4 linked regions of the Struthio camelus genome follow. The protein of the gene in region 4 purifies or fractionates together with the protein of the main gene of each other region. This does not show direct contact. Links are inferred from orthologs where the notes say so. Each region holds a gene or a part of one and is shown on either strand. Other genes may lie near its edges.

Evidence for each region.
Region 1: the proteins of BSG (region 4) and ATP2B4 purify together in Homo sapiens (affinity purification with mass spectrometry; 3 studies listed by BioGRID and IntAct, counting the BioPlex papers as one, with this or other methods). This does not show direct contact. The link is inferred for Struthio camelus from reciprocal best matches to the Homo sapiens genes BSG and ATP2B4.
Region 2: the proteins of BSG (region 4) and GNPAT purify together in Homo sapiens (affinity purification with mass spectrometry; 3 studies listed by BioGRID and IntAct, counting the BioPlex papers as one, with this or other methods). This does not show direct contact. The link is inferred for Struthio camelus from reciprocal best matches to the Homo sapiens genes BSG and GNPAT.
Region 3: the proteins of BSG (region 4) and SYMPK purify together in Homo sapiens (co-immunoprecipitation; 3 studies listed by BioGRID and IntAct, counting the BioPlex papers as one, with this or other methods). This does not show direct contact. The link is inferred for Struthio camelus from reciprocal best matches to the Homo sapiens genes BSG and SYMPK.

Annotation. Positions count from the first base shown.
Region 1 is NC_090965.1:6,585,811-6,593,608, forward strand, and holds the start of ATP2B4 (plasma membrane calcium-transporting ATPase 4), read left to right. Parts: upstream 1-4,786; 5' UTR 4,787-4,933; intron 4,934-7,798. UniProt on the Homo sapiens protein: Calcium/calmodulin-regulated and magnesium-dependent enzyme that catalyzes the hydrolysis of ATP coupled with the transport of calcium out of the cell. By regulating sperm cell calcium homeostasis, may play a role in sperm motility.
Region 2 is NC_090944.1:92,212,951-92,219,771, reverse strand, and holds the start of GNPAT (dihydroxyacetone phosphate acyltransferase), read right to left. Parts: upstream 3,008-6,821; 5' UTR 2,924-3,007; coding exon 2,876-2,923; intron 1-2,875. Other genes in the region: FSAF1 (uncharacterized protein C1orf131 homolog), read left to right, coding at 3,136-3,196, 3,403-3,662, 4,722-4,778, 5,884-5,979, 6,758-6,821. UniProt on the Homo sapiens protein: Dihydroxyacetonephosphate acyltransferase catalyzing the first step in the biosynthesis of plasmalogens, a subset of phospholipids that differ from other glycerolipids by having an alkyl chain attached through a vinyl ether linkage at the sn-1 position of the glycerol backbone, and which unique physical properties have an impact on various aspects of cell signaling and membrane biology.
Region 3 is NC_090957.1:1,740,732-1,747,567, reverse strand, and holds the start of SYMPK (symplekin), read right to left. Parts: upstream 3,011-6,836; 5' UTR 2,963-3,010; intron 1,227-2,962; 5' UTR 1,209-1,226; coding exon 1,101-1,208; intron 1-1,100. UniProt on the Homo sapiens protein: Scaffold protein that functions as a component of a multimolecular complex involved in histone mRNA 3'-end processing. Specific component of the tight junction (TJ) plaque, but might not be an exclusively junctional component. May have a house-keeping rule.
Region 4 is NC_090967.1:7,635,580-7,642,932, forward strand, and holds the start of BSG (basigin), read right to left. Parts: upstream 3,014-7,353; 5' UTR 2,775-3,013; coding exon 2,672-2,774; intron 1,086-2,671; coding exon 929-1,085; intron 1-928.

The sequences.
Region 1 (7,798 bases), on a different chromosome or scaffold from region 4:
AGCCCCTTCCCGCCCATAATGAAGTAGCGGCTTAATTAGAAACGAGCAGCGTCGTTACAGTACTTGGTAGCGGAAACGCTCCAGGTGCAGGAGAGGTGTCTTTAGCAATGGCACAGCGGGACGGCTCCGGGCGGCAAGGCGCCGGGGAGCTGCCCCGGAGCCAGGGGACAGCCGAGCCCCCAGCGGGACAAGCCGGACGGGAGGCGGAGGTGGGAAACGGCGCACGGACGGGCTGTATCCCGCCGGCAGCCCGCGAGCCTTCCTCGCTCTGGCCTCCAGCCTGGGCCTCGCAAACGGCACGGCAGCTCGGCGGGCGCCTGGGACGCCGCCGAAACGGCAGCGAAACCTGGGGCTGGGCCCCGGGAGCGAAAGGGAAGAAGAAGAGGCAGGAAAAAGTCCGTGGCAGCAGGCTCGCGCTGCTCCAGCAGCATCGCCCGGAGGCCGGCCGCCCCGGGGCCTCCTCGCGCCCGTCCCGCGCCGCGCGGGGCCGGCGGCGCCCCCGGGGACCCGTGCGGCTCCTGCGGCAGCAGCCTGCACGCAGCAAGCGGAGTTGCTCGCTCGCCCGCGCGCGCTCTCCCTGGTTTTAGCCCTGAACGGAGAGAGGTTTTGCAGGCGCCCGGCTCTGCCTTGGGCTCCGCAGTCAGTCCAGTGTCTCCGTTGTAAACCCTGGGGGGGTCCGATTCTGCCCTCGGCTCTCCGGCACGGTGCAAAAAGCTTCTCCGTTGACTCCCGCGGAGCGACGCTGGGTCTGTACCGGCGGAGATGAGATCCGGATCTGGCCCTGGGTTTTGAATGGGTTCATAACGTGACTGATAACAACTTGGCTGATCCAATTCATTTTGGGCTAAAACTCCACCGACAAGTTCCCAGCCTGGGAGACGTTAAAGACAAATCATGATGAAGTTTGGTACTCTTCTTAAAGGGAAATCATCGGTTAAGCCCAGTTCTTAAAGAAGACCGATCTTGGTCTGGTTGACCGATCTTTCCCCTTTCGGGGGTATTTTTTTACGCTGCTGGCCGAAGCTCCGGGCAGGAAACGCGCGGCGCTCCCTGCGGCCGGCTCCCAGCTCCACGCACGGGGCCGGAGCCGGAGCGGGAGAAAAGGGAACAAACCGAATACCCAGCCAGGGTCCGAGGCTAGCGAGGGGGCCAAAGGCACAAGCACGAAGCAGCGGAGCAGCCCTGCGGAGACCTGCCCGCGGGAGCCCAGCGTCCCCTGCCCTGCCGGCCTTGCCCGGGCGGCGCGCGCCTGCGGGTCGGCCCTCCGGGACGCGGCGGCGGCGCGCTGCGAGCGCGGCTGAGCATCCGCAAACCGCCGCAGCCGCTCGCCCTGCCCGCGCGGCTCCCGCTCCGCTGCGGATGTTGACTTTCCTCCGTGCGCTTTTCCTTACGTGTGACATGGAAGGGGCTTTTAGACCGACTGTTTATGGCTGCTCCAGACGTAATGGAAACACGGCGGGCAGGAGCTGCTAAGTACTAGGACTGTAATTGCAGGCTGCCACTGGATGGGAAGCACATTTCGAAGCGGCTTTTTGGCCGCTTCCTTCAGTGAGAAGCGCGGAGCACCCAGGCTGGGAAGATCTGCCTTTCCCAATTTCAGCTGAAGCCCAAGGAGGCTGCAAATTCTCGACATTTCTGCAAATGCGAACTGCCCTCTGTTAACAACAGGTTCCCTCAGGCAGGAGGCCTTATTTCCTTTCAGGAGTCCAAATCCAGATGGTCAGAGATTCCTTCCAAGCTCAGAAAAGCTGTTTTAAAAGGCTATTATGCCTCAATAGCCCTTTTTGCATCCCAGACCATTGGAAATGCCGTCTGCCGTCTGTTCCTCCCTGTATTTTTCGAGCCTTCTCCAGTCACCCAGACAAACGGTGGTCTCTGCAAGCCGCCTTTTATTTGGGGGGTGGGGGAGCAGGACGCCGCCTGAAACCGGCCTGTTTGTTCCCGCTTTTGGCTTTGCAGCGGGAGGGGAGGCAGTGCTCAGCCCCCTGCCTGCACCCCCCTGCAGAGAGCACGAGCAGGCTGATACCCTCTGTGTTGCAAACTATTGAAAGGAAAGAGATGCTTTAATTAAGAGTTGCGCTGGCAGCTCTGACGACTTTTAGTCGACTCCAGATAACTAGCACAGGTTTGCTTCAGCTTCCAGCAGCGGCTCAGAGCAGCGCCCAGCCGTGCACCCAGCACCAGAGTCCCTCTTTGCCAAGCAACAGGAAAAACAACCAGGCAGGATGCGTGGGATACGCCACGCTCAGCGGCCCTGCAGGCGCCTCGGTGCAGGGAGGGAGAAATCCCCGCGAGGGTCCACAGCGGGGCTTTGCACCGCCACCATCAGCTCTCCGAGCCAGACGGAGCCACCTCGCTGAAAGCCGAACGGACGCGTTCTTACCAGCGCCTTTCGATTAGCAGGCGGAGGAATTCCTGCAAAAGGGCCTGGAAGCGTTTGCTGGGTGCTGGGCGGCAGGGCCTTGGCTCTCCCGGTGCTCCTGTGCGAGGAAGTCGTCTTCTGCGGCCCCCCCGGGCCGGCGCAGGAATGCAAAGTAATGGAGGTGCAGGCCCTCGAGGAGGGGAAAAAAAAAAACGTTACAAACACTAATTAGGGCTTGTGCGTGCACAGATGTTACACTGGTTTAACTTGAACCAGGTTGCAAGCCCAAACGTAGGGATAGAAACAGGATTAACCCTAATTTAAGGTTGCCAACACCCAAATGTTGCACCAGTCTTGTTGCACCCGTGCAATAGTGCAGCTTTCAGTCTGACTGCAGCATTTCATATGCTTCTAAAAAATGTGGGGGTGGTCGGGTTGGCCTGCGTGAAAGGGTGGTTATTTATGCTCCAATCCTGTGCAACTCAAAAAATGCACATACCCCCTGCCCCCTCAAATGACACAGTCACCCAAGGGGTGCCCAAGAGCTCTGCCTCGTGCTTTGCAGGGCCGCTGACACCCCCCTGGGCACTTGCTGGCTCCGCACGGGCAAACCCCAGCACCCACGAGGAGGCACCCCGACTTTGCCGTGCGTCGACTTTGGGTGCTCTAGAGGCGATCAGCTGGAGCGAGGAGGGTCCTGTACAGGAGTGCACCGACCCTGCTTGGGTACCCCCACTGGCCCGGGGGGGTCCACGCTGCTCAGGGGTGCATGCACCTTGCTGCCTTGGGGAGGGTCCCACCTCCCCACCCCACCCAGGGTGCAGGCACTGCAGTGCATTGGGAAGGGTCCCACACAGGCTGGGGGTGTCCGCACTGCCCTGCGGGGCCTGCACCACCTGAGGGTGCATGCCCAGCACTGCCTGGAGGGGGGGTACCCTTATCACCTTGGGGGTGCATGAAGCACACTACCTTGGTGGGGTACGTGCCACTGCTCAGGTGTGCATGCCCTGCAATGACATGAGGGGTCAATAGTGCTTGGGGGTGTGCATGCACCACACTGCCTTGGTGGGGTGCATGCTGCTCGGGGGTGCATGCCCTGCACTGATCTGGGAGGGGTCAATAGTGCTTGGGGGTGCATGCACTACACTACCTTGGTGGGGTGCATGCTGTTTGGTGGTGCATACTGCTCGGGGGTGCATGCCCTGCACTGATCTGGGGGGGGGTCAATAGTGCTTGGGGGTGCATGCACTACACTACCTTGGTGGGGTGCATGCTGTTTGGTGGTGCATACTGCTCGGGGGTGCATGCCCTGCACTGATCTGGGGGAGGGGGGTCAATAGTGCTTGGGGATGTGCATGCACTACACTACCTTGGTGGGGTGCATGCTGTTTGGTGGTGCATACTGCTCAGGGGTGCATGCCCTGCACTGATCTGGGGGGGGTCAATAGTGCTTGGGGGTGCATGCACTACACTACCTTGGTGGGGTGCATGCTGTTTGGTGGTGCATACTGCTCGGGGGTGCATGCCCTGCACTGATCTGGGAGGGGTCAATAGTGCTTGGGGGTGCATGCACTACACTACCTTGGTGGGGTGCATGCTGTTTGGTGGTGCATACTGCTCAGGGGTGCATGCCCTGCACTGATCTGGGGGGGGTCAATAGTGCTTGGGGGTGCATGCACTACACTACCTTGGTGGGGTGCATGCTGTTTGGTGGTGCATACTGCTCGGGGGTGCATGCCCTGCACTGATCTGGGAGGGGTCAATAGTGCTTGGGGGTGCATGCACTACACTACCTTGGTGGGGTGCATGCTGTTTGGTGGTGCATACTGCTCAGGGGTGCATGCCCTGCACTGATCTGGGGGGGGTCAATAGTGCTTGGGGGTGCATGCACTACACTACCTTGGTGGGGTGCATGCTGTTTGGTGGTGCATACTGCTCGGGGGTGCATGCCCTGCACTGATCTGGGGGAGGGGGGTCAATAGTGCTTGGGGATGTGCATGCACCACACTACCTTGGTGGGGTGCATGCCGCTTGGGGGTGCATGTCCTGCACTGATCTGGGGGGGGTCAATAGTGCTTGGGGGTGCATGCACCACACTACCTTGGTGGGGTGCATGCTGTTTGGGGGGTGCATGCCCTGCACTGACCTGGGGGAGGGGTCAACAGGGCTCAGTAGTGCTTGGGGATGTGCATGCACCGCACTGCCTTGGTGGGGTGCATGCTGCTCGGGGGTGCATGCACGGCACTAACCCGAGGGGTCGATACCGCCGGGGGGGTGCATGCCCTGCACTGACCTGGGGGGAACCCGCAGCACTTGGCGGTGCATGCACCGTCCCGTCCCGTCCCCCTTAACGGCCGGCGGGGCGAGCCGCCACCTTAAGAGAGTCCCGCCCCCGGCGGCGGGGACCCGCCCCGGCCCGGCCCGGCCCGGCCCGGCTCGGCGCGGGTTGCCATGACAAGCAGTTTCTCCCGCTAGCGCCGGAGCTGCCGCCGCCCTCCTCCTCCTCTTCCTCCGCCGCCCCATGGCCGCCCGCGGGGGCTCCGCCGCCAGCCGGGCCGCGGCGCCGCGCCGGTGAGTGCGGGGCGGTGCAAGGGGGGGGGGGAGGCGCTGCCCCGACCCGGGCCGCCCCGCCGGGAGCGGGCGAGTCCCGGGGCTTCCCCCCCCCCCACCCCAACCCCGGGGCAGAGGTGCCCGGGCGGCTCCCCGCCGTGTCAGCCGCTCTCCCGCGGGGCAGGGGCTAGCCGTCGGGGCGCTGCGGGGGCGAGCGGGTGGCGGGGTGCCCCGGCTGGCCGCGGCCCAGTGCGCAGACGGGGAGGGCAGCCGGGGCGCTGCAGGGCGCGCCGGGGCGAGGCTGCGCTGCGCTGCGCTGCGCTGCGGCGGGGTTCAGCCGCTGGCAGGGAGGCGTGTGCGAGCAGCGGCGTGCTGCAGGTGGGATGCGACCCCCCCCCCCCCCACCTCCTCAGCCGGCTGGGTTGGGGGGCACGGGGAAGGCGGGCGGAGACGTGCCCGAGGGCGCAGTCTGCAGCGGTGCCGGCGCCGGGCGCATCCGGCAGCAGCAGCAGCAGGTGGGAGGCAGCGGTGAGGGTCGCGCTGGGGGCGTTGCATCCTCGCCGCCGCAGGGGACCTGCGACTTGCGGCCCGCCCTCGGGGGACGCGGCGCCGAGGAGCTAGCCGTGCTCGGCGCTGTCGGGGGGGCAGCGCTGCCTGGCCTGGCCTGGCCGCGGAGGCGGGAGGCGAGCGCTGCGGCTCGGGCGCCGTCTCCGCGCTGCCGTCGTGCCGCTGCCCGGAGCTGCAGCTGGGCACCGAAGGGAAGGGCAGGCGCTGCGACGGGGGGGGGGTGCGTGTGCGAGTGTGGAGGAGGGGGAGTTACTTGCGGCAGCCCAAGGACAGGCTGGGGGAGGAAAGGTGTTTGCAAGGTTGGCTCTTGCGTTTCCCTAGGGGGGCAGGCGCCCGCCTGGAGCGCAGGGAGGCTGCCGGCCCCGGCGGGGCGGGGGAGCCGGATCCGGCCGTCGGTCGCGCTGGGAGCGCAGCGCCCGGGCACCGCACCGCGCCGCACCGCGCCAGGCGCGTCCCCCCTGCTGCCTGCACCAATCTGCCCGGGCAAATGCACAGCGGGGGGGGGGGGGGAGAAGAAACCAACCCCCCCCCCCCCCAAAAAAAAAAAACCCCAAAAAGCAACGAAGCGCTGGCGCACACGGCTAGCGGACGGGGGCCCTTGGCCGCTGCCCGCGCCCTAGGCCGGTCGGCAGCGCTGCGCCCCGTCGAGCATCTGCTTTGAATCCGCCCGGGGGGACCTGGGTGCCCGGGCTGGGGGCGGGGGGTCCCACCTCGGCCCCCCTGCGCCCGAGGGGGCCGCGCAGACCCTGGGCGCAGGGTGGTCCCTCCCTGTGCGGCCGGAGGTAAGCCTGGAGCTTGAAAGGGGGAGGGAGGGACAATAGGTTATTGTCCTCTTATCTCTGGAGAGCTGAGGTCGGGTGGGGGGGAGGGTGGGGGTCGGGTTGCCGAGCTCAAAGCAGCGCAGCCTGTTCCTGCCTGGCGGGACGGGACGGGACGGGGCGGAAGCCAGCGGCCCTCGGGGCTGCCGACCGACGAGGGGCCCCGCGTCCCCGAGGGGGCCCACCCGCTCCGGCGCGCCGCCCTTGCCTCTGCCTGGCTCCCGCCGGTGCCCTCAATCTTTTGCTTCCTTGAGCAAACTGAGATGCACCTGAATTATTTAGCCACGAGCGAGAGGAGCTGACGCCCCCCGCGCTCCTCCCGTCCTGGCCGCCCCGGTCCCCGGGGAAGCCCAGCCGTCCCCACCGGTGGCGGTGGCGTGGGACTGGCGCTGGCAGGGCCACCTGGCCCGGCCGCCCCGGGGAACGGAGCACCGAGCGCGCTCTGGGTGAATGAACGGGAAGAGTTGGGTGGTCCTGGAGGCCTCCCGAACGCTGCGTGCCCTTCGGTTCCCCAAAGCCCGTTCAAAGCAGTGGACTGTGTGCTTGGGTGTAAGATTTTTGCTGTTGTTGTTGTTCTTGTTTGTTTTTTCATTTCTGTTTCTTCTCCCTGCCCAGTGCCCGGCCAACCGTGCCGGTGTCGAGGCGCGACGGAGGAAGCGCCCGTGCTGGCTGCGTTCCCGCCGCCTGAGCGGAGCGAGGCAGCGCCCGGCCGCGGCAGCGCGCGGGTAGCCGAGAGCCCGCTGCAGAGCCACGCCGCGCCGCCCGGGGTTGCGGGTGCCGCGCTGGGAGCGGCTCCTCCCGAGGAGGCTGGAGGGACCTCTGGAAAGCGTTGGCTCCCTCCCGGAGGGGGGGAAAGGAGTTTCTGGCCCTGGGGAGGTGGTGCAAGCGCTGCAAGTAGTGGCTGGAGAGGGCAAAGGGTGCTTTTCTGGGTGCTTTTCTTTTTTTTTTTTTGGAATGGCAGGAGATGGTGCTAGAGGGAATTCCCCGTGCTGGCTCGCAGCCGTCGAGGTGCGCCCAGCCCGCCCCGGCTCCTGCAGCGCGCCGTGCACCCTCGCCGTTAGCGTGCAGCAAGGCGCAGCCCCGCGCCGGTGCGCGAGCAGCTGGGACCTGCTGCCACGAGGCCTCGCTGGCGCTGGCAGCGGCTCCCGGAGAGGCAGAGCAGGGCCGTAGCGGGGCACCGGCCCTCGGGCAGGGTGAGTAAGAGCGGGAGGGACAGGACGGGGGCGAGCCTCGGGCTCTGCCATTGTTTTGCAGCAGAAAGAAGCAGGGTGGAGCTGCAGACGGGAGTTCCCCCCCACGCGCCCCGAGGCGCTGGGGAAGCGGCCGCCTGGGAGCGGAGCCCGCGCCTCGCTCCACCCGCGGCGCCCTGCACGCTCCCCGCTAGGCCACGAGCGGAGTTTGCCGGCTGGGCAGCGCCTGCGCCGTCCGGGAAACTCCCCGCCGCAGGAGCCCCCGGGGGGTCGCGAGGGGCTGGGGCCGCGCGGAGCCCGGCGCTGAGCAG
Region 2 (6,821 bases), on a different chromosome or scaffold from region 4:
GGCTTCCGTCTTCCTCTATCTTAAATGGTAGCATGGGCGTTCCCTTTCATTCATTCTTTCTTCTCTTTCTTCCTATTTACAAGCTATGCAGAACCAGTCCCAGTCTACATACTGAAGGATAAAACACATTGCTTCACTGGTTCTTACAGTGGCATTTTCTGGTCTCAAGATGACGGCCTGGCCTGCTAACACACATGAACGCTGGAAGCAGACAAGCAACGTATCCAGCAGCGGCAGTTGGGTGTTCAGCCTTGGGAGAGGCAGTCGTATTTCACTGCCAGTTGACCACAGTCTCATCAGCAAAACTATTAAAAACAGCTAACAGATTTAAAATAAGTATATAGCAAACATTTAGTTCCTGTTTGCTCATCAGTACAAGATTTGGCTCAGAAGCATCTCCATTTAAGAACCACAAAAGAAATCCTTCAAAGCCTCAGCTCTATCAAAAGCCAGCTTCATTTTATTAGAGAATACAAATCCTACTGTAATGTTTTACTTTTTCCATAACTTTTTTCCCCCTACACAATGTAATCACATCTGGACACTAGCTTTCCACCACAGCAGCATTTGGTAGCTTCTAGCTTTCTAGCCATCTAGCTTTTCCATCTACTGTCCTACTACAGAGAATTGTCCTGCAGCAACTGCAGAACCAGTTTCTCCACGGACTTTTAAAATAATCAGAGGGTTTGTTCATTCAGAAGTTTTAGGCTTTTTTCAGGATGGTTTAGCATTAACGTTTTCAGCCTTTCTTCTGCAGCATCAACATCAGTTGATGTTTTGCAAGAGCTAAGTAAGCTAAGAACAGATGAGAAGACTGGAAATAGCTTTTATTACCCTTCTGTTGCCACTGATACCTTATGTCAATCCCCCTCGATCAAAAATAAAGACGGCAAAGAAAAATTTACATCCTGTAACAGCAAAACGATGGCATGAGAAAAACATTAGTCGATTCTACATTATGCACATGCTTATATCATGATGCCATAAGAAGACACGGCTCAGAAAAATCTAAGCTATGTTTACTTCAACTGCCGAAGCTTAAGCCCTGTAACATGCAACTGCATGAAAAGCAAACAAAGAAATCCAGCATGCAGCTCTGGTATTATTAGCCACATCAGCAGTCACCGCCTGCTACAGCCACTCCAGAACATGCCTCTGACAAGGAGTTTTACAAAGGCCACAGCCAATTGAAAAACCATCACTCTGCCACTTTTCTTCCCTTTTCACTTCCAGATTTAATGAGCACCTAATTTCTGTACACAGCAGCGGTTATTTTCATGCCCTGCCCTGAAGTAGCATGGAGGAAACCAAAACAAACAAACTTTACCAACTACTAAAGGAGAATAACTCTCCTCTTATATACTGAGGCCAAAGTGCTGTCTTGGCTTCAACCACAGACGGGCAGAGAACGCACTCAGAAAATATGCTATTAGCAACTTAGTAATTGGGAAATTCAGCTAGGTTCATGATTACCATGGAACTGGTGAACTACAAGAGTAAAACCAGAAGGAGCCTCGAATTTCTCCTTTTCCATATAACCTTTTAAAACGATGAAGCGATGCACTTGGGATACCAGTATAGAGCCAAGAGGACACAGAAAAGAAGTTCAGGAATCTCCCCTGAAACCAGGACTTATTTCCTCCTCTCCCCACCTCCCTCCCCCATCCAAATCCGAGCAGGGAGAGAGGTTTAGCATCCCACATCCAAATCTCCTTGTCCGAGGCTGGCAAAGGAGCTGCAGTTAAAAAACAAGGTCAATGAAGTCATTTTAATTGCATCACACAGGAAAACCCATTCTGTCAATTCCAACTTTATGACCAATTTCTAATAGCAAACGTAATTGAAAACTTATTAACCACAGCATATTGTGCCTACGCTGGCCAAACGGTTATGTCACGCACGTCAGTTAAAAATAAGGTTAAGCGAGAGAGAGACATTTTCATTCCAGGTGTTTCAAATCCAGAAGACAGCCACGAGCTCTACCTCCCAAAATGCTCTGCATTCAGATACCTGCTGCAATCACGGAGGCTTTCAGCTAAGTTAAACAGACCTGCAAACAGGCCTTTTGACAAGACTTTTCTTTAAAGTAAAGTCCTAGTCATTTCTGAACTTTTTTTTAAAAAAAAAAAAAGAGGAAGACTGGTATTTTGCAGTGCATTTCAGCTGAGAAGTCAGGTCTTCAAAATCAATAAATTAATTGTAATTATTGTGATTTCAATCCAGACAAATGCTACAGAGGCAAACAATCTGTGTGCGTGCTTCACGCCAGCTCCCAGTGTTTTTAAGCCGAGCAGCTGGGGAAGAGGAACTTTCCACTAAAACAGTTAAATTCTCAAAAACAAAACAAAACAAAACAAAACCAAACCCCCCAAAACAACAAAAAAAGCCCCCAAACCCCTGCAAGGAGCCAGGGCCAAAGCTCCGCAAGGCAGAGCACCTGCCAGCAGTTCTTTACAGCAGATTTCCTCCTCAGCACCCCAGAGCCCAAGGGGGGACCCCAGACCCCTCGCCAGCCCCCCCGCAGGGCCTGAGCCAGCGCTCCCCGTTACCCAAACGGGCCGCGCACCGGCAGGCCGCCCTCCCGCCCCACCGCGCCCCCGGGGCCGCGCCGAGGCCAAGCCGCAGGCGGCGGGAGCAGGAGGCAGCCCACGCCCGGGGCCAGGCGCTCGCTCACGGCCGGTAACTACGGCCTGGCGCGAGCAGCGCGGCCCCGGGCAGAGCCCCAGGCATCCGCCCTCCCCAACCCCCACGAGAAAGGAGGCAGCTCGTGGAGCGCCGTCGTTCCGCTTCAGAGTGAACAGCGGCGCCGCGGTTGCAGGCAGCGGCCCCGCTCCCCCCGGCCCCCCCCGCCGCCGCCGCCGCCGCCGCCGCCTACCGAGTACATGGGCGCCCATCGCCGCGCCCGCCCAGCCGCCGCCGCCATGGTGCTGCGAGCGCTGCCGTCGCGCCCCCCGCCCGCCCTACCGCGTCGCCGCGGCCTCACAACTGCCGCTGCGGCCGCCGCCCGCGGCGCCCATGGCCCCCCGCGTCCCTCCGCGCCCGCCGCCACCGCCGGGGCGGGGCCGGGGGCGGCGCCATCCCGGGCGCGACGGGAGCCGCGCGCGACCAAACTTCCTTCCGCCCGGCGTGCCGGCCATGGCGTCGGGGGAGCGGTGCCGCCGGCTGGCGGCCGTGCTCGGCGCCCTCTACGACCTGGGTGGGTGAGCGGGGCGCCGCGGGGCTCCTTGGGGGCGGGGAGGGGAGGGGAGGGGAGGGGAGGGGAGGGGAGGGGACGCCGCCCTGCGGCGGTGGCTTTCTGTGTAAACTGGGGCTGCCCCCACCGCCGGGGCCGGGCCGTTCACTCTGAAGCGGAGCGACGGCGGGCGGGCGGGCGGGTGACGCGCTGTGTGCTCCGACGCGCAGGTGACGAGAGCGGCCCGGAGGAGGCGCAGGCGAGCGGCGCGGCGGAGCCGGCCGTGCCCGAAGGCGGCGGCCGGGCGGGCAGGAGGCAGCGGGGCGGCGGCGCCCGCGGCTTCTTCAGGGAGCTGCGGGCCGAGCTGCGCGGCGCCGAGCCCGGCGGCGGCGGCGGTGCCCCCCCGCGGCCGCCCGCGGCGCCGGCGCTGGAGGTGGTCGTGTTCCGCGGGAGGAAGAGGAGGGCGCGGCCGCCCCCCGGCGGCGCCCAGGTAGGGTCCGGCTGCGCGGGGCTGGGAGAGGGGGGCCCGGAGCCGTCGGTGAGGCGTGCGGGGGTATCGGCGGGTTGGACCCTTTGGGAGCCCTTTGCGGAGGGACCAAGCAGCGGGTTGAGTCCTTTTCCCGGCAGATGGCCCTCTTTTCTCTCAGGGCTCAGAGCTGTTTGGTTTCCTAGCTCCTGTAGCAAGCGGCTGTGGAGCCCGCGCTGGGTTTTTCCCACTTTTTGGTTTTTTTCCCTCTCTTTCCCTAGGGTACAAGCTAGGCCCCCTGGGAAGTTCCTCCCCAACCTGAGAACTGCTGATGGAAGGTCTCCACAGAAATTGCTCAGCAGAAAAGACCTTTTCACTGATGTCGTTTCGCACGTTTAACGCTGGGTGCCGGCTATTTTGTTGGGCCTGCCCTTTGTTGGCAGTGCTTCCTTTGGAGCCTTTTCTGTTGCGTTAATTAAGTAGGATGCGTGCCTTAATGTATTTGTATACAGTTATGGAATAACTGTTGTTCTATATGTTACTGCCAACTGTCAGTACATACACTAGTACCTCTGCTCTGCGTGAAACAAAATGACTTTAAGTTCATGTCCTGCCCTGCAATAGCAGTTTTGGTACAGGTTTAGAAATGGCAAATGTAAGATGCATAGCTCACATGCAATAGTTCTTATACAAAGTGTAATTTAAACCTGAAGTTTCAAAAACTAATTGCAGCTATTAATTTGATTATACTGTATCTTTCTCAGTTATAAAACTCTTTGTGTTAGCAAATGACCTAAGCAAGAAAACGCTGAGCAAAGCTCTGTGCTTTAATGGTACCCTGTGTATTGTGCAGGGTTGTTCCAATAAGACCCTACAATAGCTACGTATTAAGAATGCCATTGAGACCTTCTTGTTTTTAATAAATCAAGGTCATAAAGATGGGAAAAGATCCTGCTGGAAAGCTGTGTTCTCTTCCCTACTACCCATTTTAGCGTTTCACTACTTTTTGAAAAACGATCATAATAAGCATTTACATTGGGGTTGCTTGTTATATTAAATGGAAACGTTTTGTTTTGTTTATAGATCAGAAAAGTGGCTGAAGAAAAAAACGTGAACAAACACGAATTTAACTTTGAAAAAGTAAGTCACCAGAATCTAATCTCAACGCTTTAGTGTGCAGGTGGCTGTATTTATGTGCTTGGGAAAGCTACAGCGGGACCAAAGAGAAACAATTCCAGAAAAGGTTATCTTTCGCAGGTGAGGATTTCCTAATACATAAGTTTGGCTGCATGCCGTTCTGGAGGAGTGTGCTGGCTGTTGGGAACAGCTCTTTACGAACAGAGGCATGTTACAGCTCTGTGGCCTTTATTTCTGATTTTTCAGTGATAATTTGAGGAGGATCATTGTGTGTTAGGTGTGTAAAGTGTGTAAAGCTATGTGGGTACCCATAATATATAGCGAATGCTGATTTAGGCCCATGATGTTAATTTTGGTATTTCTGATCTCGCATGGCGGGGGGAGAAGCGTATTGGTATATATTTTTCAAAGAGCAGTTGGTTTTTATTTTTTCATTTGTCTTTTGGTTCGAAGTTGTTCTTATAGAACTCACGTTAGGCTTCTTAGATAGTGAATTGGTTTCAAATTTGTGCGGGTTATTTTATATGCCTGACCCCTGCTCAGGAAAGTGATGTGATCCAGTGAAATCTGGTGACTGGGTGTGGCGTTCTCTGCTGCTGAAAACAGTGGGGATTTAATCGCTACCTTGGAAAAGGTTACGAATTCACCACCGATTCTGCCAAGGTCTTCCTGTGTATTGTGAACGAGACATCCTGTGTAGTCAAACCACTTCAGCATCTGCACGTCCAGGCTTCTCACTGGTGAAGTGCTCTGTGGTCAAGTAATGAGAACGCTCTGTAAACGTTGGGTGTTGTTGGTAGCGTGTTTTATTGTTGTTCTCTGTGCAGCACTATGATTCATTTTAATACAGAATAGGTCTTTTCCACGTGTTCAGTTTTATGTGAAATAAGGAGAGTCAAATATTGTCACCCAGACATCCTCACTGTCCAGAGATGAGACAGTGGTTAACCGTTTGGCAGTATAGGTCTAAACTCAGTGAGTTTTATTTTGTACTTTCAGGTACTATCTGAGGCTTCTTTGGGGGTACAAATTTGTTTCAGTCTGTCAAGCGTTGTTTCACGCAGGTTGGACAATTATAAAATGCTTTCAGTTTTCTGTAATGTTTTAGGCTCGTTTGGAAGTGCACAAGTTTGGAATCAGTGGCTATGAGAAGCAGGAGCAACGCATGTGGGAACAGGAACGTGCTATCATGCTGGGAGCCAAGGTAATTGTTGCTTGTTTTGTGGCAGGAGATGACCCAGCTGTTTTGATACAGACAAGTAGTAAAAAACCACAGTGGGCGTTTGGCCCTAGTTTTTTAAAAAGATGAGCTCTCCTTCCTTGCCCCTTCTGTGACCTCGTCCTTATTTTTCCTGTTTCGGCCCTATTTTCTGTTCAGTCTCACCTGTTTTCTGTAGAAATCTGGAAAACTAGTACGTTTGTGTTATCAGAGATGTTGCTTAGGTGAAATAAGACAGATTGGGATGAAAATCGACATTTATTTATTTTTATTCAGACCATCCAAACCTAAACGACTGGAGGAGGGGCTTTCTTGTTAAGCTTTCTAAAGCTTCACCTTCCCCAGCAAGTTAAGGACAGAGAAAGGTTTTCAGTTTTATTTACCGTCAGTAGTGTAAAGAAGACAACAGAGTAGAAAACGTGTTTTTTTTTTTTGAGATGGGTTTTTTTTAAGGGCTCTGTGTATAGGAAACCTTATAGGCCTGTTACCCCCATCAAAATGCCCCCAACTCTATTGCCCCCATCAAAAAAAGACATGGTTTCAGTGTGATCTACCTTATATCCCTCTAGTCACTTCCATTCCCCCTAAAGGGAAAAAAATGGGTTTTTTTTCCTTTTTTTTTCTGGAGGGCAGGAGTTGTTTGTTGCTTGGTTGGTTTTTTTTTTAACCCTCTGTGAAAAATAATTTCCGTGCAGGCATGTGTATATTTGATGAACCTATTTGAACATTTCACCAGTGATACCACTCCTGATCTTTATTGCAGCCCCCCAAAAAAGAACATGTGAACTACAAGACTTACCAAGAGAAAATGAAAGAGAAGAAAACAA
Region 3 (6,836 bases), on a different chromosome or scaffold from region 4:
CACAGCCAGGTCCCCATGAGGACCCCATGGCCTCGTGCCAGGTCTCCATGAGGACGTCACAGCTGGGTCCCCGCGAGGACCCCACGGCCCCGTGCCAGGTCCCCACGAGGACGTCACAGCTGGGTCCCCGGGAGGACCCCACGGCCCCATGCCAGGTCCCCGCAAGGACGTCACAGCCGGATCCCCGCAAGGACCCAACGGCCCTGTGCCGGGTCCCCGTGAGGACATCACAGCTGGATCCCCATGAGGACCCCCATGACGCTGTGCCAGGTCCCCATGAGGACATCACAGCTGGATCCCCGCGAGGACCCAATGGCCCTGTGCCAGGTCCCTGTGAGGACATCACAGCCAGATCCCCGCGAGGACCCAATGGCCCTGTGCCGGGTCCCCGTGAGGACATCACAGCCGGGTCCCCATGAGGACCCCATGACCCTGTGCCAGATCCCCGCGAAGACGCCACGGCCCCGCGCCGGGTCCCCATGAGGACATCACGGCCGGGTTCCCATGAGGACCCCATGACCCTGTGCCAGGTCCCCACGAGGACGTCACAGTCAGATCCCCGCGAGGACCCAATGGCCCTGTGCCAGGTCCCCGTGAGGACATCACAGCTGGATCCCCGCGAGGACCCAATGGCCCTGTGCCAGGTCCCCGTGAGGACATCACAGCCGGATCCCCATGAGGACCCAACAGCCCCGTGCCAGGTCCCCGCGAAGACGCCACGGCCCCGCGCCGGGTCCCCGTGAGGACATCACGGCCGGGTTCCCATGAGGACCCCATGACCCTGTGCCAGGTCCCCGCGCGGACATCACAGCCGGGTGCCCGCGAGGACCAATGGCCCTGTTCCAGGTCCCCGTGAGGACATCACAGCCGGATCCCCATGAGGACCCAACAGCCCCGAGCCAGGTCCCCGCGCGGACGTCACAGCCGAGTGCCCGCGAGGACCAATGGCCCTGTGCCGGGTCCCCACGAGGACCCTAGAGCCCCACGCCAGGTCCCCATGAGGACAACGTAGCCAGATCCCCGCGAGGACATCACAGCTGGATCCCCGCGAGGACCCCGCGCGGACGTCGCAGGCGGGGGCCCGCCGCTGCCGCACGCACCCGCTCCGAGGTGCTCATGCTGTCGATGCCGCCGCACTCCTCCTCGGCGAAGAACTGCGAGGCCACGCTCATGCGGGCGTTGGGGCCGTCGGCGCTCGAGCCCGCCATGGCGCCGCGGCCTCCTCGCTGCCGGGCGAGCGGGCGTCAGCACCGCTCCCCCGCCAGCCATACTGCCCCCCTCGCCAGCCATACGTGACCCCTTTTCCCTCCCCGCAGTGGCACCCTGACCCCCCCCGCAGTGAACCCCCCCGAGGCACACAGGGCCCCTCTGCCAGCTTCACTGTGCACCCCCTGGCCCCTATAGGCACCCTAGGTTTAACCCCCAGTACCCCTTATCCTATAGGGTCTCCCCCACTCCCTACAGCCCAGGCACACAAGGCCCCCCCCACCAGCCCCCTACACAGCTCAAGGGCACCCTATATGCCTCTCCCTTATTACTGCCAATCCAGGCCCTTACACAGCACCTCTCCGCACCTATCCTGGTCCCTATAGAGTCCTGGGACACCCTATATGCCTCTCCCTTATTACTGCCAATTCAGACCCTTACACAGCACCTCTCCACACCTATCCTGGTCCCTATAGAGTCCTGGGACACCCTATATGCCTCCTCCCTATTACTGCCAATCCAGGCCCCTACACAGCACCTCTCCGCACCTATCCTGGTCCCTATAGAGGGCCCTGCCACCACATACCCCCTCCAACACTCACGCTCTATATTTCAGCACGCTCCTGGTCCCTAAATAGCCTCCTGTCTCCCCCCTACCCAAGCCCAGGACCCTATAGAGCACCATGCCTCTGTAGTGTCTATAGACTCTTACACGGTTTCCTTCCCCCTATAGAGCCCGTTTCCCACACAGCTCCTGGCCATACGGGGCCTCCCACCCTCACACACTGCCCAGGATCCTATAGAGCCTCTTGCCCACGTACTCCTGCCCCTATAGAGCTTCCTGCTTCCCCATACTTCACCCCATTGTGCTTCCCCCAGACCCTATAGAGCCCTATTTCCCACACACCCCTTTTCCCTACAAACCTTCCCACCCCCACACGCTGCCCAGGGCCCTATAGAGCCTCTTGCCCACATATCCCCACCCCTGTAGGCACCTGCAGCTCCTCCAGCCCCTTATAGGGCCTTCAGCTCTTTTTACCAATCCCCCAGGCCCCTATAGAGCCCCACTCCCCACACACATCCTGTCCCTACAGACCCTCCTGCCCCCAAACACTGACCAGCACCCTATAGAGATGCCTCCCCTACACTCCCTCACTCCTATAGGGCCCCATTTCTCAAGCATCCCACGTCCATATAGAGTCCCCAGCCCCCCACACGCTGCCCAGGGCCATATAGAGCCTCTTCCCCACCTGCCCTCACCCCTATAGGAGCCTATAGGTGCCCCAGGCCTATTGAGCCTCCACCCCTGCCTACAGGGCATCATCTCCCACGCATTCCATGCCCACATAGTGCCTCCAGCCTCCACACAAGGCCCAGGGCCCTATGGAGCCCCTCCCACAAATACCACCATCCCTATAGGGGCCCATATAGGTCTCCCGCAGCCCTATAGGGCCTCCACCCCCCTACAGAGCCCCATCTCCCATACATTCCTCGGCCCGGCCGACGCCCCTGCCCTCCCCCACGGCCCTATAGATCCCTCCCCGCCATACCCACACCCCTATAGGAGCCTATAGCCCCCCCGCCACAGCCCTATAGGGCCTCCACCCCGCTAGCGAGCCCCGGCTCCCACTCACCCCGTAGCCCCACGGAGCCTCCCGCTCCCATACATTGCCCAAGGCCCGACCCACCTCCCCCCCCTCCCGACGCCCCTATGGGCCCCTATAGGGCCCCTATAGGCGCCCCCAGCCCCCCTCACCGCCGCCCGCGCGCTCGGCGGCCTCGGCGCGCTCCGCGCACGCGCCGTGACGTCAGGCGGCGGCGCCAGGGGCGCGCTGCCCGCTGGGAGCTGTAGGCCGGGAGGCGTGGTCTGGGGAGGCCACGCCCCCTCCCCCGCTCCGCTTCCGCCGCCCGCCGTGGTGGGGGGGGGGAGGGGGAGGGGGCGCCGCGCGCACGCGCGGGAGGGGCGGGGGTGCGCGTGCAGGTGGGGCGCATGCGCGTGGGGGGGCGCCGTGCGCGTGGGACACGGGGATCCCGCGTGGGTGTGCGGACACGGGGGGTGCGCGTGGGTGTGCGGACACCGGGCTCCCGCGTGGGTGTGCGAACGCGAAGACGGGGGGTCCCGTGCACGTGGGTGTGCAAGCACCGGGATCCCACGTGCACATCGCTGTGCACCCCCCCCCACCCTGGATCCGCCACCAGTGTCACGAGTGTGTCAGGTCTCAGTCAGAGGGGAACAACCTCCCCCCCCCAGCTCCTCCACCAGTGCCACGAGTGTGCCAGGTCTCAGTCAGAGGGGACCTCCCCCCCCACGCACACACACACAGCCCCGGCTCCTCCACTGGTGCCACGAGTGTGCCAGGTCTCAGCCAAGGGGAACAACCCCCCCCTCCAAGCTCCTCCACTGGTGCCACGAGTGTGCCAGGTCTCTGCCCCCCCTGCCCTGGCTCCTCCACCAGTGCCACGAGTGGGCCAGGTCTCTGCCCCCCTGCCCTGGCTCCTCCACCAGTGCCACGAGTGGGCCAGGTCTCAGGTCTCAGTCAGAGGGGAACAACCCCCCCCCCAGCTCCACCACCAGTGCCACAAGTGTGCCAGGTCTCAGGTCTCAGTCAGGGGGGAACAACCCCCCCCCCAAGCTCCACCACCAGTGCCACAAGTGTGCCAGGTCTCAGGTCTCAGTCAGGGGGGAACAACCCCCCCCCCAGCTCCACCACCTGTGCCACAAGTGTGCCAGGTCTCAGGTCTCAGTCAGGGGGGAACAACCCCCCCCCAGCTCCGCCACCAGTGCCACGAGTGTGCCAGGTCTCAGGTCTCAGTCAGGGGGGAACAACCCCCCCCCCCAGCTCCACCACCAGTGCCACAAGTGTGCCAGGTCTCAGGTCTCAGTCAGAGGGGAACAACCCCCCCCCCAGCTCCACCACCAGTGCCACAAGTGTGCCAGGTCTCAGGTCTCAGTCAGAGGGGAACAACCCCCCCCCCCAAGCTCCGCCACCTGTGCCACGAGTCTGCTGGGTCTCAGCCAGGGAACCCCCCCCACACCGCCACCACCCCGGGGTGCCCTGCGGGAAAGGGTGCTGCCTCGGATGCCTAGGTCCTCCCTTGGGTGGGGGGGGGTGGGGGCAGCCCGGACGCCTGGGCTCCCTGCAGAGTGGAGCGACCCCCACCCACCACCCCCAAAACGGGCAGCTCCGGAGGCCACGTTGGCACCCGGAGCCGCCCGGACGCCTGGGTCCCTTGGCTGGGCCCCCCGCGCCCTGTGGGGGGGGGGGTCACCCCGAGGCCTGGCTGCCCTGCGTGGGGGGGGGGGGGCCTGCTGGGAAACTTCGTCAGCAGCAGCTCATAAACAAGGCCCCGCGGCCCCCGCTGCCGGCCAGCGCCCCCCCCCCGCGCCCGCCGGGCCACGTGGCACCCCGGGGTGCTGCTTCCCCTCCGCCCGGACGCCTGGGCCCCTTCCCCGGGGGGGGGCAGGTGGTTCTCCCCTATATTGGGGTGCTGGGGGGGGGTCCGAGTGCAGGGTGCACGGTGCTGCACGTCCCCCCCCCAGCATCCACTGCCCCCCTCCCACCCGGACGCCTGGGCCCCTTCATAGCGGGTGCATTAGGGGGGTGCCCACATGCTGCACCCCCTAATTTTGGGGTGTGTGGGGGGGTCCGAGGGCAGGGTGCATGGTGCTGCACGACCCCCCCCAGCACCCACTGCCCCCCACCCCTCCAGGACGCCTGGGCCCCTTCATAGCGGGTGCATTAGGGGGGTGCCCACATGCTGCACCCCCTAATTTTGGGGTGTGTGGGGGGGTCCGAGGGCAGGGTGCATGGTGCTGCACGACCCCCCCCAGCACCCACTGCCCCCCACCCCTCCAGGACGCCTGGGCCCCTTCATAGTGGGTGCATTAGGGGGTGCCCGCAGGCTGCACCCCCTAATTTTGGGGTGCTGGGGGGGAAGCACCCAGGGCGGCCGGTGCCCCCCCCCCAGCACCCACGGGGCGGCAGAGCCTGGCGCCGGGCACAGGCAGGGCTTTATGCCGCCACCGGCGCCGTGGGCCCCGTGCCCGCGCCGCGCACAAAGGGCCGAGTGTTGGGGGCGGCGGGGGGCCGGCGGCGGGGTGCGGGGACACGCGTGTGCGTCGGGGCGTGCGGGGACACGCGTGTGCGTCGGGGGTGCAGGGACACACGTGTGCATCGGGGCGTGCGGGGACACGCGTGTGCGTCGGGGGTGCAGGGACACGCGTGTGCATCGGGGCGTGCGGGGACAGGGACACGTGTGTGCGTCGGGGTGCAGGGACACGTGTGTGCATCGGGGCGTGCGGGGACACGCGTGTGCAGCAGGGGTGCGGGGACACGCGTGTGCATCGGGGCGTGCGGGGACACGCGTGTGCAGCAGGGGTGCGGGGACACGTGTGTGGGTCGGGGTGCAGGGACACACGTGTGCGTCGGGGGTGCGGGGACACGCGTATGCATCAGAGGTGGTGGGGACATGTGTGTGTGCGTCGGGGCGTGCAGGGACACGCGTGTGCATCAGGGGTGCGGGGACACGCGTGTGCATCGGGGCGTGCGGGGACACGCGTGTGCATCAGGGGTGCGGGGACACGCGTGTGCAGCGGGGGGGTGCAGGGACACGCGTGTGCATCAGGGGTGCGGGGACACGCGTGTGCATCGGGGCGTGCGGGGACACGCGTGTGCATCAGGGGTGCGGGGACACGCGTGTGCATCGGGGCGTGCGGGGACACGCGTGTGCATCAGAGGGGGTGGGGACATGTGTGTGTGCGTCGGGGCGTGCAGGGACACGCGTGTGCATCGGGGTGCAGGGACACGTGTGTGCGTCGGGGGTGCGGGGACACGCGTGTGCATCAGAGGGGGTGGGGACATGTGTGTGTGCATCGGGGCGTGCAGGGACACGCGTGTGCATCAGGGGTGCGGGGACACGCGTGTGCGTCAGGGGGGTGCGGGGACACGCGTGTGCAGCGGGGGGGTGCGGGGACACGCGTGTGCAGCGGGGGGGTGCGGGGACACGCGTGTGCATCGGGGCGTGCGGGGACATGTGTGTGTGTCGGGGTGCAGGGACACGCGTGTGCAGCGGGGGGGGTGCGGGGACACACGTGTGCAGCGGGGGGGGGCTGCCACCCTGGGGTGCCCCACGTCCCTATCCCCCCCACCCCGTGGCCCCAACGTCCCTGCGTGGCCGTGCACGGCCCCCTCCATCCCCCCCCCAGCGCGTGTCCCCCACCCATGGGTGCCAGCCCAGCCCGGGGCCACGGGTGACACCGGGTGCAGGGAGGAGGCGGCTGCGGGGGCCGATATTAAAAAGCTCTTTAATCCCCGGGGGGGGGGGTGGAGGAAGGGCACGAGGAAGAGGAGGGTGACACGTGTGCGGGGTGACACCCAGGGCCACCCTGGCACCCCCAAACCCTCCCCCCCCCACAGTCTAGGGTGGCGGAGGCTCAGTCTGCCCTGGCCCACTCGGGGGCCCCAGGTCCATCTTGGAGACCCCTGGGTGCCACCGTCAGGCTCAGGGCGCCCGGGTCCACCTCGGGGAGCCCTCTGGGTGCCACCGGCAGGCTCAGGGCGCCCGGGTCCACCTCGGGGAGCCCTCTGGGTGCCACCGGCAGGCTCAGGGCGCCCGGGTCCACCTCGGGG
Region 4 (7,353 bases):
AGGCTGTTTGTTAGCTCTGCTGTGCATGGAGCTTCCCACTCCCAAAAACCACTCAGCTAAGGAATTGAGGTCACGCGAGGGAGGCTGGGTTATAAATACTTTAATCCTTGTTCAGCTCCCTGTTGCTATGGGGAGAGAGGCACGTCGGCACAGCCACACAAAAGGACATGATGCCTCTCCAGCTGCTGGGCCAGTGCCAGCCAGGCCTGACTGTAATCAAAGTGGAAAGCTCACTGCACTGTTACAATAAGGTTGGTATTCCAGTTTCTGCTCAGCTACAGCCTGGAAACAGTTTCCAACTGTAACTTGCAGGCAACTACTCAGCTTGTTCTACAGGGACAGGCTAGACTTTGAAAGTATACTTGAGGTACATACATAAAAGCCAACTGTACAGATAACATTTCTCCTGTTCCACACATGGCCTCTGGGGGAGCAGAGAGCTCATTTCCTTTCCAGAGCCACAGATCCTTAAAGCTCTGGGAAAACATCTCACTGCACTGATGTCAATGCTGCAGAAAGCCAAGTGCTCATGTTCTCCAGACAGCAGGCCAGCCAAGCAGGCAGCCCTAGCCACCTGGCACCTACCTGGTGCTGCTGAATCCAATAGAAACTCACCTAGCCCGGCAGAACATGGGCAGGAAAACTTTAAGTAGCAGTACTTTTCAATTTATTAAGAGGGCATGGTGGCCTATTCACTTTCCCTTCTTCCTCCTTTCTGCCCCCTCCTCCCCAAAAAGGAAATGCTGGGCCTTAGCAAACCTTTATTTTGCTCATGTTCTGAAGTTCCAAAGTTTATATTTTATGCAAGACTGTATGTGACAGTCCTTCGGTTTAGGTTCAACTGATATGAAACATTAGCCGTTTCTGGTAAAATAACTGTCCCTTGCGTACAGACATATTCTTATCTGGCCTTGCCCCCGACACTTACGTGTAACTGGTGAAAGCATTCGATTCCGTGTCCGTTTGAAGTATCTTGTCTCCTCTCATCCACTCATGGCCCTCAATGGAAGCGTAAGGCGTAGTCATGTTACAGGAGAGGACCAGTTTGCCAGAATTGACAGTTACGAGAGTTACGATGTTTGGACCTGCATTTGTAAATTCAGCTGAAGTTAACATGTGCTATTCCAGAGGTTATACACCTCCCCAAGAACCTTTAAGGCAAATATTTCCCAAAAAATACAGCTCCTTGTCTCCACCATAGCTTTCTACTTACCTTCTTAAATCAGATTCCTACCAGGACTGATGATACCAGCACAGGACAGAGTTGAAAGCCCGATGACTAGGGCCTGATGGCACTTAGCAACAATAGGATACTGACCCTACAGCTGCTACCACCACGGTCAGGATCACTGCCATGCACTCAACAGTTTTGAGCCTCCTGCTATCTCTACAATGGGTGCAGTTCATATATTGCAATGGAGCTAAGTGCTCAAATAAGCAATGAAAAAGGTCACACTGAAGGGTTTCATGAACCATTTTAGCACTCGCTGCATGTTAGCACCTTCCAGAATTTGAGCAGATCTGAACATCTCCAGGTAGCATAATTGAGGACAGCAGTCAAGACACTTTCGTCAGGAGCAACAAATATGACAGTATGCAAGCAATATGCACACCACCTGATACAGCTCAAGAATTTATAGCTATATTTATTCCAATGAGAACCTATGTAGCCATGATTCCAAAAGGTCCTAGATCTCCATTATGCAACATAAGATTACTCAGACACTTCTACTTGTAAGAGGTAAGTCCAAGAAAATAGCTGTCATTAGTAGAGCCATTATACAGCCCTGTGACACTTTAGGTTTCCTACCCTCCCACCCATTTGCACTTTTTTGGAAGGAATAATTTTTACACAGGGCTGAAAGGCATTTTGTTTCTCCTCCTACCCAACAAATTCCCCCGGAAGAAAAATCTGCTGGAACTTTGTATTTCCTAGTACATTTAAGCTGAGGAAAATGTTAGTAATTTTGCTCCATTAACTTCAGGATTCACGACAGGATCTTAGCAGGATGTTAAATTCCCTCAAACTAGTTCAGGTTTCTATTATTGGGAAAGAAGCAGCCTCTTAGCTCAAGAGTTCAACTTTCAGCTCTGCAAGTAGAGGGAGTCTGGTCACTTCCACAGTACAAGCAACTTAATCACATTCAGTGTCACACACAGACACGGCCATTTCAAAAATGGTTGCTTCACAAGAAACTAAAAGCAGATTTTGATCCCCACAGCTTGTAACACTAGCAAGAAAGCGAGCTTAAAGCAAGACGTTCACAGGAGCAGAAGCTGTAATGAGCTGTAGGGCAGGGCTGGTTTGTCAGTGGTGGTTAAGGCAGAGTCTACCAGCAGAATCAAAATTCTTAATTCTGCAAGCCGGCACTAGGACACGGAGGCACTTAAGCAGTATGTTCTACTGTCTTGGGCTCTGGAAAAGGTATAGGATTGCTGCATGGTGTTTTGGTTGGGAAGTCACAACCCTTTTTGAGCAGGGCCACTTCGGATCAAGTCACAGGTGGTGAGGGAGATCACAGGAGGGTAGGAGTCTCAGTTCTACAGCCAGGATGGGAAGGTGAAGGGAACTTTCAGGAAGTCACAGGACACAGGTGCAGGGGTGAGCATGGCAAGAGACTCAAGACATCAGTGTCCGAGCAAGTGCCAAGGCCTCAGTATGGCCACTCACGTTCGATGACAAAAACGTTAGCCTGGGAACGGATCCACTTGACTTTGGGGCTCTTCGACAAGTGGTTGCGGTCAGGGTCGTTGCTAGCCCGGCACTCGTACATGCCCGAATCGTCGATTGAGAGGTTTGCGATGTAGATGGTACTGGTAGAGTGCAGGTTGTAGGTGGCGTTGATTTTGACACGGTCCTGCCGTGCACCATCCCAAAGCTGAGCATAGGTCTCATTTGGTTCGCTTCCCTCAAACCACCACTGGATCTCAGGAATAGGATTGCCAATTGCCTCGCAGTACAATTCGACGCTGTCCTGAGTCAGTCTCTTTTGAGACAGCGGTGACTTTACAAAACCAGCTATGAGTTGAAGAGGTATTAGTGCAAAGTGTTAGTGCAAAGCAAGAATTCAACCTCTACAAGGAAAAAATTTCAGCCACTGAGAAGATGGAACATAACTCTTCAGAGTAGCATACTCTCCCAGCTCCCTCCCCTCTACAATCCATAAGCTATCTCCAGCTACACAGTCAACTGCCCCATGCCGTGTCTACAGCCAACAACACTTTTCGCCACTCTGATGCAAAACCAGAGCTTGCAGAACAGCCACACTTACAAACACTAGCTGCATGAGCAGAGAAATACGAGGCAGGAAGAGAAAGAACAATGATAACGTTCCAGATATTCAAGAATTGCATTCAGTGGGCTGTAGCTGCGTCAGTGGAAGTTTGATAACTACTCCAGCCACAGAATTAAGTTTCAAGCTCAAAGTTACCAGCCCTGATCATTGTTACCTCATTACCTTGGTTAAGTTCTGCTCAATGGTCTCTGTCTGGGAATACAGAGAGCCTATTTGCAATACTGATTGAATTCCATTGTGATGTTAGTTATCAGCTACTTAACCAGCAGTCACTGAATTGCATCCTTTCTGTCACAGTCTGCATTACAAACATGATGCTCACACTGGGTCGGACCAAGTATCTCTCTAGCCTAGTACCCAGATTCCAGAGGCGACGAGCTAGACACGCCTGCAATACTTCTTTCACACTCCTCCCTGTCTCCAAGCATTTTCAGCTCAGGATGTAAACTTCAATGGATTTTTGTTCCAACAGCTTATCCAGTCTCTCCTGTCCCCCCAAAATTTTAGTATCTGCTATATTCTGAAAAGGAGGTCCACAGGTCTGCCAAAATCTCTGTTGCATATTGCAGTAAAAGGCTGGCAGCAGCAAGACAGCATCATCTAGTATGCGTTCCACTGTAAAAAGGACACAAAGAAAGCAGCCACACAAGCCTGGTGAACTAGCAATCCTACACTGGCCTCCCTACTCTGACACACTGAAGGTCAGAACATTTTGTGCATACAAACGTTCACACTACAGAGACATAGCTCCCCACTCGCCCGCAGAGAGGGGCATGTCAGTCCCTCCCTGAGCTTTACGCGCCCAAAGTCAGTTGATCTCATTTGAGACCTGGCCAGAGCCTGGCACTCATCCTGTCACTACGTGGTGACTAGATGATGTTGGGCATTGTTACACTTATGGTACCATTTGCCTGCCTCATCTGCCAGCCTTCATTGCACTGCAAGATCTGTTCTCCTTCACGTTCGCACATGCTTGCTTAGTCATCCTGCTCACTAAGATGCAAGTCAGATACTTCTAAATACAATATTCAAGACAGCTGCAATTTCTGAGAGCATCTTGCAGTCTGCAAGATGTCACAAGCCAGGTTAAGAAATCTGTAATATTCGTTGTAATACAAACAACGAAATTATACTTTCTTCATCCCAGGCAAGCTAAATTAATAACACAGATTAAAAAAACATGAGAGACAGCTACAGGCTAAAACTACAGTATTTTTCAAATTGCTCTTGTGCTCAGAGTCCAGAGGGTTCAACTTCTGAAAACAGACAGTTCAAAGGTAAAGCCATAAGTCAGTGCACTGCAGAAAGCAGAGCTGCCAACCATTTTTAGGGCTATTAGCCAGATGCAGCACTATCAACTACGAGCAGCAGCTCCCAGATGTAAGATTGTCCAAATCATTACAAGACAGATGGGAGGAGAAGGCCCAAGCAGGGCTTTCTCCCCCCTCCCCCCGGGGGGGCAGGAAGGAAGTCTCTAGCAACAGCATTTCAGGAAAAGACATCATATTTGCGTCAAGGTTACTTATGTGACTCAATTTCAGCAAGATTTAAGCAGAGCTACTTAACTTTGCAACATGCACTTCCTGTACACTGATTTCAGACTGCACTACTCAGACACCAACAGTAGACCTGCCAAGTATCTACCATACCAAGAGTCATTCCAAGAAGTTAACTTACTCAGTAATAAGTATTAAGAAAGCTCTGATTATATAGATGCCCTCCACACACGTATCATGTCATACAGGCTTAAGAGAGGTGGGTTGGGGGATTTCTTTGTTTTTGAATGCCCAAAGACATTTTAATAAAAAAAATCTTTTTTTGCAAGCGTGGGAATAAATCAGCATTATAAAACCAAGTTTGCTCAAATCCAAGCAAAACAGAGACGTTTGCTAGGTAATTTTCAGAGGCCTACATAAATAATTTCCACTGTTTAAACATTTCTCAAAGGAAAATTTAGCCTTACACTCTGAAGCTTTAGAAGTCTGAAAGAACAGACAGGTTTGGACAAGGGAGGAGAGAGCTGACTCTCACCTGAGACCAAGACAGTTTTAAGAGAAGGCTGATAATTAAAACTGAGATATTTTGAAGCAGAGGTCTGTTTGAGAATAACTCAGTGGCTAAAAAAGAAGTCTGGTGCCATTTCACGTACTAACAACAGTATCAACTGTTACATTCACAAATGCACCATTCAGTAATATATTGGCAGAGGTTTTTAAAGCCTCAAACTGACTCTGTATTACAGAATTTGACTAGATACACTAGAATGATCTTCCTGATTTTTTTTTTTTAAAAAGGTCACTAGGGGTTCTAAAAGAAATATGGAAGTATTAATCGCAACTTCCTCACACACTGAGCTTCACTTCTAGAACATATTAGAAGTTGAATCCTGTTAAGCAGCTAGAAAAAAGTTAAACAGCCCACCAAGGTTAAACTCATACTGGTGTGGGATAAGCTGTGCTGTATTTTGGTGGGTGAGTTTCCTGACAATTTTGCATGCCAGTTTAGTTTTTAAATCACAAGCCTGTGATTTAACCCTCCCAATCACCTAATGTTGAAAGTCACAGAATTGACTACAGTATTTGTAAAAATCAGTCCCATTTTAACTGAAGCCTGATTTAAAGTGGGAGCTGCTAGTGATCAAGGTTTCCTTTACAGATACAAGCTGATTATAGTGCACTGATAAGATATTTCAAAGTTACTTGCTCCAAATTAGAAGGCACTTCATGCACAGCTCAGATAGTAATGTGGATCTGCTGAGCCTCTCTAGGCACCCTTGAATTCAAATGATAAAAATAACAAGTATCATTCCCTTTTCACATGGGATTAATATCCCCTCTCTGCTTTTCCAACACAAAGCAGACTAATCGAAGTCTCGGACGCTCAAGGCTGGGGAAAGCACCTGCTGAGTCCTAGGACATACCAGTACAGCCAGCATCAACCCACTGGAATTGATCAGAGGCATTCAAACGATTTCAAATGGTGTTGGGCTGGAAATTGAAATCAGCTCACAAAAGCCAGGCATTCCTCACAGAACAGAGCCAATCACAGAGCTGAGCAATTCTCCTGGGGACCGGGCAGTATTCGATCAAGCTGGACAGTGGCAAAGACAGACATGACCAGATAACACTCTCTAGAGTCACCTTCAAACTAAAAACAACCTCTCCCCACTGAGCAGAGGGAGGAGCTCTCATGGCACTCGCAGCACCCAACAAGCACAGACAGATCTCAGTGCAGTTAAACCTGGCAGAAACCTGTGTCTTCCTGCAGGGTACACTCATCCATGGCATGACCTTTGTTTCTCAGCGTAGGAAGGGGATATATGAAGCTCTGACACTTATTGCCATTTCCACTAATAGCTATAAAGCCTACTCTCTCTCAAGTTTCATATAACCAGGCAATCACTAAATAACCAAGTCAAAGGCAAGTGCTTTCAGTCAGTTCAGGAAGTCGGAATACTTTGTCCTCTCATGATCTGAGAGCAGAGTCCAAGCATGCACCTACCTACAGACTTGGGCCTCTACAACTTAGGCAATTGTTCTCTGCTGCAAGCTGCAAAGAGTTTTAACAGTGCAGTTTAAAAGGAACATCTCTCAAGAAGTCTGCTCTCTAGATGGAAGTCTAATGTTAAACACAGCTGAGAGGTAAGGAAAATCCTTACAGTCCGCTATTATGTTTACTTCAGCAAAAATAGAGCATTGTTACACACTCGCCAAAAGCAGGACTTCAATGACCAACACAACTCTGTTACCATTAGAGGATCTCAGAACAATAACACCCCTACAAAATAAGGGTGAGCTAAAGCTCAGGTAAGAGACACCCTCAAAAGGCACAGTAAAATAGAGACAAGTCTCTACAACTGCCCAGAGAGAATGCTGGACTTCAAGAGACAGATGACCAATAAGCAGCTACATGATTGGGGGTTTTTGTGTTTTTAAGTTCAGCCATTTTCCAGAAGTAACATTTGGATTAGCAAACCAGTGTGAAGTGATCTAACCTAGTACTCCACCATCCAAAGCATTATAGCCCTACAGACTGTTGCCCTACAGACTGAGACCAA